Coturnix japonica: one gene and its partners. The protein of the gene in region 1 interacts with the protein of each later gene in a biochemical or structural test. Links are inferred from orthologs where the notes say so. Each region holds a gene or a part of one and is shown in the gene's direction. Other genes may lie near its edges. The genes, in order: RLIM, LHX3 and UBE2K.

Region 1 (4,115 bases):
AAATCCAAACCTACAGCAAAATCATGGCATACTTCCATGTTTTATGCTCTAATTCAATAAGAAAATACATAGTTGGGGGTGTACATCTAATCCAGATGGAACTGGGATTGCTCCTTTAGTAATCATTTTGGCATCGTGGCCTTAGTTCTATTGAGTTTCCAGTCAGTTTCATTTCATGGTCCCATCCTGTAGGAAATAAAACTGATAAGAAACAAAACCTGCAACTGACCACTCAATTTGTTCCTGCTCAAACACTATAGCTGCCTTTGAGTTGTTATATCCCAAGGGGGAAAAAAACAAAGATGACTTCCAAGGAACTTCGCTTTTTCTAATGTCATTTTCAATAGGTATTTCTGAGACAGTAATGTGGGATCTTTTCCAGCTTCTGTGGGAATCCCTTACATCCTCTGCAAAGCTTTAACTTTTTCTTCTCCTTAAGCCAGTACTCAGCATCCCATCCCCCTTGGGTTCAAAACCAAGCTTGTGGTTTTCTCTCTCCTACCTCTCTATCTTTTCAGTCAGTTTGTTTGTGTTTTTCTCTCTGCCCTGATTGATTCCTGATCCTGCTCCTCTACCAACCTGCCACAAAGGAGACGCACTGACCCTACAGGTAACATAAGTAGAGTTTTATTGAGCGCAGAACTACAGTGACATTTAACCTACAAGCAGGCTTACAGAACTGTGGACGTGTAACGCTTAATTTAAGCTTACACTGTCAAATAGGAACATCTGGCTTTTCTGCAGCATGACTCATCTTCAGCACACAACACTGTAGTGTAAGCCAGCATGAGAAGGAAATCCTGCTAGCAAGGCAAGGAGGGTGAATGTTGTCAACAACAGCCTTGCTGACCATTTTTCCCTTACGAGCTGGGAAACACTGGCCATTTCCAGTCTCTTTGCTGACACCTTCACTCACCACGACCCAGGTGAGTACCTTGAGGTAACACGAAATGGCCCCCGTGGCTCTTGGTACACACACGGGCCATACCACTCCTTCACGCCAACAGCATCACTCGGGGGCTATGCTGAGCCCTGGGGGCTGCAAACAGAGAGGTGGTCCAGCCCCCCTTCACCCCCACACACACCATCAGCCCCATCCCCTCCGCCTTTGCCCCTCTTCAAAATGGCGGCGCCCCTCCCCTCTGCACAGCGCTGGAGCCGCTCTACCCATCTCGGCGGTGCTCCACTCTCCTCTCGTTGGTGCGCGTCCCCCACCCCCGCCCCGGAGGCTCCGTCTGCGCGTGCGCACAGGCCCGTTCCTTTACTTCCGCTGTCGGCTGCCGCTTCCGGGCCCCCGTTCCTTGGTAACAATGGAGCAGAAAATGGCCGCCTGAGAGGGAAGGCAGAGAGACGCTGCGGCTGCTTAGGGACGGACGGAGCGCGGCGAGCCGGCACCGAGCCCGCTGAGGACCGGAGAGAGCGGCGGAGTGACAGCTGAGGAGACGGCGGCGGGCGGTGAGTGCGAAGGCCTGGACGCGGACGTTCAAGATGGCACTGGGAAGGGAGAGGCCCAGGCCCAGGGGAGGCGGCGGCGGCCTCCGCCCGGAGATGGGGGCGGCCAGGGGGACTCGGGCTCCTGAGCCCCGCGGTGTGGATCTGCTCAGCGGGCTCAACCGGGCAGGACGGTCTCGGGTTCCAACGAGGCTCGGCGGGCCGCAGCCGTTTGAGGTGGAGCGGGTCCGTGCTGGAGCCGGGGGCCGTGATGGCGCTGTGCCTGAGGCTGTGCCCTGCTGCTCCGGATCAACAGGGCCCCAAAGCACTGGGGATTTCTCCGCCTTCGCTTGTGGTGCGTGATAGAGGACGGTCATTGGGGCTCCACCACCGCCGGACAGTTGAGTGGGCGGAGGGAGGGGGGGGTCAGGGTTGGAAAAGGTTCTTTTTGGGTGAGGTGGAGTATCACGGCCACTGCCCCGGGCCTTGTGCTGCTTAGGGCCTGCTTGAAGATTCTCGGCTCTTCAGGTCTGTGTTTGCAGGTTAAATTCCTTGCGTTAAGGCAGGAGCCCTGTTGGAGGTGAACAGAAGTGATTCTTGATCCCGTTGTGCCTTTTGGGAGGGTCGTGATCTTTGTGTGACCTGTTAAAAGCTGTTGTGATTGCTGTTGGTGTCTTATCCGCTTCTCTTCACTTAGTCATGTAATATTTATTCTGTTACCTTGCTTCCTGTACACATTTTTCCTTCCTTTTTTAATGCTGTCTACAGACATTTGGAGTTTCTGTTTACTGTATTTCAAAACTGTTGTCAAGTGTTATGCTATATATACATCACTTTATTTTCCATTGTCAGCCTTAATGGAGGAGCAATACCAAGTTGTAGAATACGGACGTTTTGAGGTTCATTATTTGTTTTGATTTTAGTGTGTAATAGGAGTCGGACACAAGATTTCACAGCACAAATACACTTTTTAAATTGAATGTTCTTGTTTGTGTTTCTGTTTTCTTTTTTTGAGGTGATAGTTGTGAGGAGCCTGTAAACAAGGGTTCAGTTGGGACTGTATACAGTAGGGCAGTTGCATGTATGATATATTTCTCCTGTCTGTGTTGACAGTACTTGTTGTTTTCAAGCTGTAAGTTGTCATGAAAACAATAGAGAAGTTCCAGCACTACTCTGTTCCATAATGTTAATTGCAGTGACTTGACAAGTGTTTTTAGGGGGGGAAAAAAAGCGTGTTTGGCTGCCCCTTAGACAGTTAATCATCAAAACTGAGAGTTTAATGCTTGGTTTTGCTGGAATGACCAACTACCATTTAAAAAAGACTGCATTCCCTCTCCAAGTTTACCATTTGAGAATGAAACTAATTACAGTTTGCAGTCTTGTCACTTCTGCTGCTAACAAGGGGCAGCACAACGCGCATCATAGGATTAAGAGATGTTGGTTACGTTGGACCACTAAGTGTAACAGTTACAATATACTGCTCATCAGCAATTCTGGCTACATCAATGTTTTGTCAGTGAGAAACCACAAGCATTTTTTCAAGCTCGTAGTCGTTGCCAGCAGTATCAAATTTATTTTCCATATTACTGAGTCCATGAACATACCAAGGTGTACTGGAAAGCAGTGTTGCAAGTTTCTGGTCTTCATTACATGTCTCTTTTTTTTTTCCTGTATCAGTATTTTTAGAGTAATGTGATCCTTAAATGGAAGTGTTTTTAAAAACACTCATGTATTAATGTACTTGGCTCCTTTATTTCTGTGTTCCCCATCCCTATGGAATTGTTTCAAAGTAAGTTTCTTCATCTTGGTAGAATTCTTATAGTTGCAGTAGGAGTATTGTACTTTTGTACTTTTTACAGCCATAATTTAATGACATTTACTTCAGCCCATAGATTGTATTTGAGTCCAGTTTAGTGAAGTTTTAACAAGTTACTTTGGTGTTCTAAGTTCCTCGAGTGCTTGACAAGAACAGCAACAACTGCGTGCACTGGGTTTCCTATGTGGGTTGTATTTGTAGTGAATCTGTCATTGTTGTTTTGGCCTTTTAGTAGAAGCTGTATTAGCAGTTCTGTGAGAAGGTGAGAGTAAATGTAGAGCTGGCTTTTCCAGTGGATGATCATTGGCTTTGTGCTTTCAGTAAACAGAAGTTCTCTTTCCTCAGAAATCAAAACACTGTGTGATGGGCATCAGTTCTGTGGGTACAACTTCCTTAGCTGTCAGTCCTGTTTACACTGCTGTCTTTCAGCGTCAGCACCAGTTACTTTCATGCAGAGTATTACTTCCCTGGAGCTCCAGCCTCGCTCTCCTGCCCGCTGATCTAGCAGGAATATGGAATATCGCTACTCAGGGAAAGAGAAGTTCCATGAGACTTCTTCCACTACTGGAAAGTCAGTAACGTGAGTGTGCTTAGCTTTCTCTGAGGTGATATCACCTCTGTCTGAGCACAGAAGCAATACTATATTAATTTTATTTTGATTTTTGTGTGTGTGTGCGTGTGAAAAATGCTGTTCTAATAAGTCTAGGTTATAAAATGGGAAGTACCTGATTTTGACAATCCTTGTCTTATATTCAGAGCTTCGCCTTCATTCCCATGAGATCAGTGTTCTGAAATTGCAAAGCTCCACCCTTCTGTATGGAAGGTAACAATAGAAACCTGTAATGAATTGCTATGTGTTCTAGATCTA
Region 2 (3,118 bases), on another chromosome or scaffold:
AGCTCCGAGCTAACCCGCACCGTGCCGGCAGAGGCCGAGTCCACGGCCAAGAGGCCCCGCACCACCATCACGGCCAAGCAGCTGGAGACCCTCAAAAACGCCTACAACAACTCGCCCAAGCCGGCACGGCACGTCCGGGAGCAGCTCTCGTCGGAGACGGGGTTGGATATGCGAGTGGTGCAGGTGAGACCGCGCGGCTCCCACCCCCGGGAGGCGGCTGGGATCGGGTCGGCCCCGCTCACAGCGAGCTGCCCCGTGCTCTGCTTGCAGGTCTGGTTCCAGAACCGCCGGGCCAAGGAGAAGCGGCTGAAGAAGGACGCGGGGAGGCAGCGCTGGGGGCAGTACTTCAGGAACATGAAGCGGTCCCGGGGGACCTCCAAGTCCGACAAGGACAGCATCCAGGAGGAGGGGCCCGACAGCGACGCTGAGGTCTCCTTCACAGGTCGGTGCCCGACGGGGCTGCGCCGAGGGCTGCCGGCTGAGCTGCGGCCCTGGCAGGGCTCGATTCACCCCTTCGGGGTCACATTAATTATTTTTAGCTGTAATATAATAAGGGAAAATAAGTGCGATAAGAGGAAGGCGGAGTGGAGGGACCGCCCTGGCACAGCCAGAGCCGCTGCGCCGGGAACAGCCGTGAGCTGAGAAATGGCACGGGGAAATCCTGTGACAGATCCCAGACGGAGCAGGGAGAGCTCCATGGGCAGCGCTGGGCTGTTGGAGCGGCCCCTGCATGCAGTCTTCTCAATGTCTCTTCTCAAGGGACAATGCAAAACTCGGAGTTCAAAATTACTGAACTACGAGGAAAAGCTCATAGGTTCCTCTTAGTTTGGCTGTTGTTGTTGTATTATCCTATTTAGAATCGTTTGATTTGCGTAGTTCTTGTTAGTTACTTCCCAGTCTTGTGGGAGCTGTTTCCTCCCTGCTGTAAAAAAAGGAACTGCTTCGTTTTGGGAGATTTCTGCATTACAGGGTCCCGTTTTTGGGGCAGTCATCTCTGCAGATAACCCCCGGAGCTCTCAGCTTTGTGCTCCTCAGCCCCGCGGCCGCTCACTGCCGGGCCGCAGCCCTGAGCTGGGGTGGGTGCACGGGGGCGGCAGCGCTAAACAACCCGCACTGACAGCACCTGCACCGCATCCCCGCGGGGCTCAGACTTGTGTGCGTAGACTTCGTTTGTAGAGATACGGGAGAGAAGCTGAAATACAACACTACTGACAAAGACATCCGCCCGCAATGCACGGATGTTTATGGGCACACAGCTTTGTGTTTCTGCTCTCTGCCGTGTTCCTAAAACCTGTTTGATTTTCCAGCCTGTGCACACACGCTGCGCCTCGGTGTCATTAAATATGAATGTACCATAAATAATAACTAAAAATTGTCGAACAATTATTGATAGCTCGGTGCCAAAGCAGATTTGTATCCAAGGCAACGGAACGGCTCTCGCTGCCCATAAAGCCCCAAACGAAAGCAAACAATTTTTTTGCTGGTGATTTACAAAATACTTTCATATTTCAGAAGTGTTTTTAAGCCTTTCTCCTCCTCATCATCCCGATCCTGAGGAAACAAACACTGCTGAGATCTAATTCATTTTCTTCTGAGCAATGCACAGTTTTTCCTTGTATCAAATGCTCAGGTAGATCCTAAAAATGAGACCGAAATTCAAAATAAACCCCAAAGCCAAATATAAAGGAGAGACCAAAAGGATGGAAAGATCTTGAACTCATGTTCCTCTTTAAAGGATTACTTTAAAACCTCAGTCCTATATTTGAATGTGTGCTTTTTGTGCCTGTTTTTTAGACCCCAAATGTATTAGACATTTGTACTCAGAAAAAATAATCCCTTGTCTTTCTTTGGAGACTCATCAATAAGGGTAGGAATAATAGGGAATAATAAGGAATTACAACTAGGAAGTGCACGGCTGCTCAATTCCCATCCATCTCATTTGTGTGTACTCAGGGCTCACAGGAGCTCCTGTGTGCACTGCCGGCCGTGGCCATCACTCTCCCAGTAAAACCAGTTTGTTTTCCTTTCAGATGAGCCTTCCATGTCCGAGATGAGCCACTCCAATGGGATTTACAGCAATCTCAGTGAGGCATCCCCAGCCCTGGGGAGGCAGACTGGGACCAACGGGGGCTTCACTCTGGATCACAGCGGCATCCCAGCTCAGGACCAGTACCACGACCTACGATCCAACAGCCCCTATGGGATTCCCCAGTCACCGGCTTCATTGCAAGCACTGCCAGGCCACCAGCCTTTAATCTCCAGCTTGGTTTACCCCGACAGTGGTTTGGGCATCATGGGACAAGGCGGACAGGGGGTGCCCCAGTCCATGAGGGTCCTGGCTGGGAATGGGCCCAGCTCTGACCTCTCCACCGGCAGCAGTGGGGGATACCCGGATTTCCCTGCCAGCCCAGCGTCCTGGCTGGATGAAGTCGACCATGCTCAGTTTTGATAGAGGATCCACCACTGTGCAGTGGGAAGGGAAAGGACTCATCGCTGGCAAATGTCATCTGCCCATGGGGAAAAAAGGAGGGACGTGCTGAGTGCTGCGCGGGCAGGATGGCATGGCTGCCCTGCAGAGCGTGGATATGCTTGCAGAGGGCGAGCTGCTGGTGGATCTGCAGTGGACAGTGGGCAAAGGGAGACGTGGCACAGAGGTGAGCATGAGGAGCATCCCACGAACCTGGTGATGGTGTCCTTACTGAACACCGAGAGTTGTGCTTTACAGGTGTTTTGCTTTCTGCTGTCATTGCATCCTCCAAAGCGAGGACTTCTTTCACCACCCACCCACACTGAAAACCTTCTGAAGAGAAAATAAAGTCCTCATCCGAGATGAAAGGTGTGACCATATCTATATTTCTATAGGGGAAATGTTAATAGCGAATCACTTCAGCACCCCATGGTAGCAAACATCTCTGTTCTTCCAGCGGATTTTTTGAAGCGGTTTGTTCTGCTTTCTTTTCAATTCACCTCCGCTTCTCTAAAACAAGATGCTCTTTCATATGCCAATCACACACCATCAACCCTTTTCCTTTGTAAAGTGAAGACCACCCGTTGATTCCGCTTCGCATCTTTTTGATTTATAGACTGCTAGTTTCATTCTTCCATGTAAGCATTAAAC
Region 3 (4,212 bases), about 51 Mb from region 1:
CATTTGGGAAGAACACAAGAGGGAGTTTGCTCTCATCTTCAAGTTCTCATCTTGGTACTGAAATAGGTGGGAGAACCAGAAACATTTAAAAGGGAGAAGCTGGATGGTATTTGACTTCTGTGCTTGGAAGCACCAAATTTCACTTTAAATATTGGTGAAGAGGTAATTCTGTGAAGTGTGCTATTCTTCCTGTAGATAAAGTTTAATACTGATATGCCTAAGTATCCTTAGTGCTTTCTGTTTCTGTGACATTGAATAGTATTTCTGGGAAATCACTACAACAGCCTTCAGCCTTGCCTTGCTTTCTGGTTTGCAGGTAGGAGCTGAGGGATTTGTGATGTAGGAGGGGAGGGGCTGACAAGGCTTTTAAAATCTTCTCACACTTCAATATTTTTTGCTTCTTTTTTTTTTTGGTAGCATTTCTGTCTTTTTTAATTGTTTTAATAAGGCCTTGCACGTTGATTTAAGGAATGGGGCGTTGTAGAGATCTTTGCAGCTTTGCACCTTTTGAGTTTATAAATGAGGTACGTGAGACTGACAACAGTTTCCCCATTGAGAGACAGAGGAATTGTCTTCAGAGTAGGAGGAGAGTTGAAATGTTCAGGTTGCTGATGTCCTGCGTATTCAACAAAAGTGAAGCTGCTCATGTAGGTAATAACCTGACTAGTGTAATATAGGTTGGAGGGTACCGTCTTGTTCCTCTATGAAAACTTAAAGTAGTAAACAGTGATTAACTCATGCACTGTTTTGAATCATAGTCTAGGCAAGTTGCACTCTTTCTTTCTTCTGTCATTTCATTAATTTATCTTGTTAGTTTCATGGGTTAGGCTAAATTAAATTCCAAAGTAGCAAAACATGTTCTGAATGAAAGTGTGAAGCTGCAGCTTGATGGAGAAACTAACAATTGGTGGAGGGGGAATAACAGCCCAGTATCTTTCGCTTTGATGGCTGGGAAGAGGCTTTGGTGAAGGTTAGCTGATATTATTCCAGAACAGGGTTATTGGAGTGCTAGCCAGATTCTTACCATCTCTGTCTGTAAGCAGCTGTCTTATGAGGGGAAGGATCTGGTATTTAACAACGAGCGCTGAAAAACATTGTGTTCATTCATGGGCTGGTGCTGACAAGTGGTTTAGTTCATCAGGCACGTCAATGTGTAAATCTTTTTTCTTATTTTACTATAGTATCACATGTGCTTTAAGGAATGGTATTGTGCTGGCAGTGGAGTTGACCATCCAATATCTTCATCATGCAGGAATGTAAGGAGATTTCTGGCCGTCTCTCTGTGAAATGCTGTTAGGAGTGAAATTGCTTCTCTGTGGCATTGAGGATAACACTTCGGTAAACATGGCTTCCTTCTGGCAAGAAAAAAGTTGGTGGTTTTTCTACCACAGAATGTTCCTCTTCCCTGTATCAAAAGGCAGAGGTTTATCTGCATGGAAGGTAAACACAGATAGAGCTACAAATAAATTAAACTCGACTGTAGTTGCAGAATAGGAGTATCTGCAAGAGCAGATATGTGCAGTAGCAGTTAAAATTTGTAACGTGAGTCCCAAACAGTTTTCAAGTGGAAACAGTATGTTGATGGCAAAAATTGAGTTGCATCATTTCCAAGAAGGAAGTCGATATTTGTTCTGGAGTCTGCTATGTGATTTTGTGTTGTAAAAGAGAAGGGAAGAGTAACAATCGCGTGCCATACTGTGTTCCTCCCTAGACTTGCAGTGAGTAGCTGTGCTGTTTGTTTGCTGCTGGTGGTGTTGGGATGCTTGGCAGTTTGTAAGCTGCTAAGTGACATCTTGGTAACTGGAGAGCGGTGAACTGAGGTTCAGAAGAACTTTACTGTATTTGATTTGCTTATCACAGAATCACACAGAATCACAGAATGACCCGGGTTGGAAGGGACCTCAAGGATCATGTAGTTCCAAACCCCCCTGCCTGGCAGGGCCACCAAACATACACCTTTACTAGATCAGGTTGCCCAGGGCCCCGTCCAACCTGGTCTTGAACACCTCCAAGGACGGGGCATCCACAACCTCCCTGGGCAGCCTGTCCAGGGCCTAACCACTCTCCTAATGAAGAACTTCCCCCTAACATCCAACCTAAATCTTCCCTCTTTTAACTTTAAAACCATTACCCCTAGTCCTGCTATATCAGCCCTTTCGAAGAGTTTACTCCCCTCCTGGGAGTAAGTTCCCTTCAGGTACTGAAAGGCTGCAATGAGGTCACCCCGCAACCTTCTCTTCTCCAGGCTGAACAAACCCAACTCCCTCAGCCTGTCCTCATAGGGGAGGTGCTCCAGCCCCCTGATCATCTTCATCTTATACTTGAGCAGTCTTGGGTACTAGAAACTGAATTCACTAAAATGGAAGCTTTTACTAGTAATTGTGCTTCGGTGTCATTAGAAAGGCCTGATGGATACTGTGGATGTGTGGTGGTTTTTTTCTTACCATTTATTATGTAGGAGCAATGCAGATGTATAAAGATGAAATGTCTTCTATTATGACTCCTGAGTCAGCAACGTAATATTTAAACAATGCCAACTTTCTGCTCAGGCAGATATTTAAGTCTTGATTCATGAGAATTGGTCTATTGAGGTCAAGTGTAGGTTTAGTAAGTGCGGAGTGTGAGTGGAGCTAGAGTGGGCCTAGTTAATTAAAAAGAAGCGTAAAAATGAGAACTTCTACAATGAAGTTGTCGTGTTGGTACAAATCTTTGGTGTGCCTCTCAGAAACCTTGCATATGGCCTCAGACTTGGGGGGGAGGGAGGCAGCAGTGTGTCAAGTACAGGCTGCTTTGCAGAGGGCTGTGTGGAGACTGGAGAAATTAATGAACTGACAGGAGCTTTGTGAAGTTAACTGTTAAGTGCCAAGTCCTGAATCTGAGAAGTAACACTGTACATCAATACGTGTATGCTCTGGGGACTGACTGGAGACAAAGCAAGTTGGCAGAAAAAGACCTGTGGCAAAGAGGGCCAACTGCACACTGGGTTGTTTTTAGCATGAATGCAGAGAGGGGTGAGGAAGTGGTTCTTCACTTTCCCATGCACTTCTGAGACCATATCTGGAGTGCTGTGCCCTGTTCTGGGAAATCCATTAATACACCAAAGTGAGTCCAGTAGAATGCCATAAGGGAGATTAAGGGACGGGACTATGTGATGTGAGAGAGGGGCAGAAAGGTGGCCACTTAAACCCACCACAGGTACTTGACTCCAGAGGAGAATCAAACATTTCGGTGGCGCACAGGGGTAGGATGAGAAACAACAGGTAAAAGCTGGAACATGATAAATTATGACTGGAACCTGGGGAAAAAAAATGGCGTTACAGTTGTCTCATTGAACTGATTGAATGGAGAGACTGTGGATTCCCCATCCTTGATGATATTCAGAAACTCAGTGAGACAAGTTCTTGAGCAGCCTACTTTTGTTGGACCTGCTTTGAGCTGGAGGTAGGACTAGATGCCCACCAAATGTCTCTTCCTGCATCGTTTTTTTTGTCTCTAGTATAAGGTTCTTTTAAATTAGTGCTGTGGTTGTGTTTTCTTTTTTGTGAAAGAAAATGCCAGGGTCCCCACAACACCCTTCTCTCCAAATTGAAAGTGTATGGATTTGATGGGTTGACTGCTCAATGGATGAGGAACTGGTTGCAAGTTTGTACCCAGGGAGTGGTGGTCAGTGGCACAGTGTCTGGATAAGGATCAGTGACTAGTGATGCCCCTCAGGGCTCAGTGCTGTTTAGTGTTTTCATTGGTGACATCAACAGTGGGATCAAGTACCCCTCAATAAGTTTAAACTAATATGAGTTAATACATTTTTTATGGTAAGGGTAGCGGAGCACTACCAGGTTGCCCAGAGAGGTGGTTGATGCCTTGACCCCGAAGTCATCCAGAGTCTGGATGGGGTTCTGAGCAACCTGACTGAGCTGTAGGCACCTCTGTTTGTTGCAGGGGAGTTGTTCTGGGTGACCATTAAGAATTCTTTCCAACTCAAAATGGTCTATGACTGTATTACTGTCTCCAGACCTGATAAAATATTTTCTCTGTGAACAAATCAGAGGTTTTGAAGTAGCATTTTTCTCTTTATCTGGGAAGTTTCTGCTGTTGTAAGATGATAACGAATCCTCTGTCCACAAATTAGAGACTAGTTCTTCCGGTAGGTGCCAAGTTGATTAAATCTTATTAGGCTGAATGAGTTCTGGGTTGAATCATGAAGGTAGAATG

The links.
Region 2: the proteins of RLIM (region 1) and LHX3 form a complex in vitro, tested with the Homo sapiens proteins (2 studies listed by BioGRID). The link is inferred for Coturnix japonica from reciprocal best matches to the Homo sapiens genes RLIM and LHX3.
Region 3: the proteins of RLIM (region 1) and UBE2K form a complex in vitro, tested with the Homo sapiens proteins (2 studies listed by BioGRID). The link is inferred for Coturnix japonica from reciprocal best matches to the Homo sapiens genes RLIM and UBE2K.

What each region holds. Positions count from the first base shown.
Region 1 is NC_029519.1:11,724,812-11,728,926, reverse strand, and holds the start of RLIM (E3 ubiquitin-protein ligase RLIM), read left to right. Parts: upstream 1-1,292; 5' UTR 1,293-1,455; intron 1,456-4,115. UniProt on the Homo sapiens protein: E3 ubiquitin-protein ligase.
Region 2 is NC_029532.1:6,534,693-6,537,810, forward strand, and holds the end of LHX3 (LIM/homeobox protein Lhx3), read left to right. Parts: intron 1-31; coding exon 32-183; intron 184-270; coding exon 271-442; intron 443-2,030; coding exon 2,031-2,449; 3' UTR 2,450-2,471; downstream 2,472-3,118. UniProt on the Homo sapiens protein: Transcription factor.
Region 3 is NC_029519.1:62,495,052-62,499,263, reverse strand, and holds the start of UBE2K (ubiquitin-conjugating enzyme E2 K), read left to right. Parts: upstream 1-1,280; 5' UTR 1,281-1,287; coding exon 1,288-1,440; intron 1,441-4,212. UniProt on the Homo sapiens protein: Accepts ubiquitin from the E1 complex and catalyzes its covalent attachment to other proteins. In vitro, in the presence or in the absence of BRCA1-BARD1 E3 ubiquitin-protein ligase complex, catalyzes the synthesis of 'Lys-48'-linked polyubiquitin chains.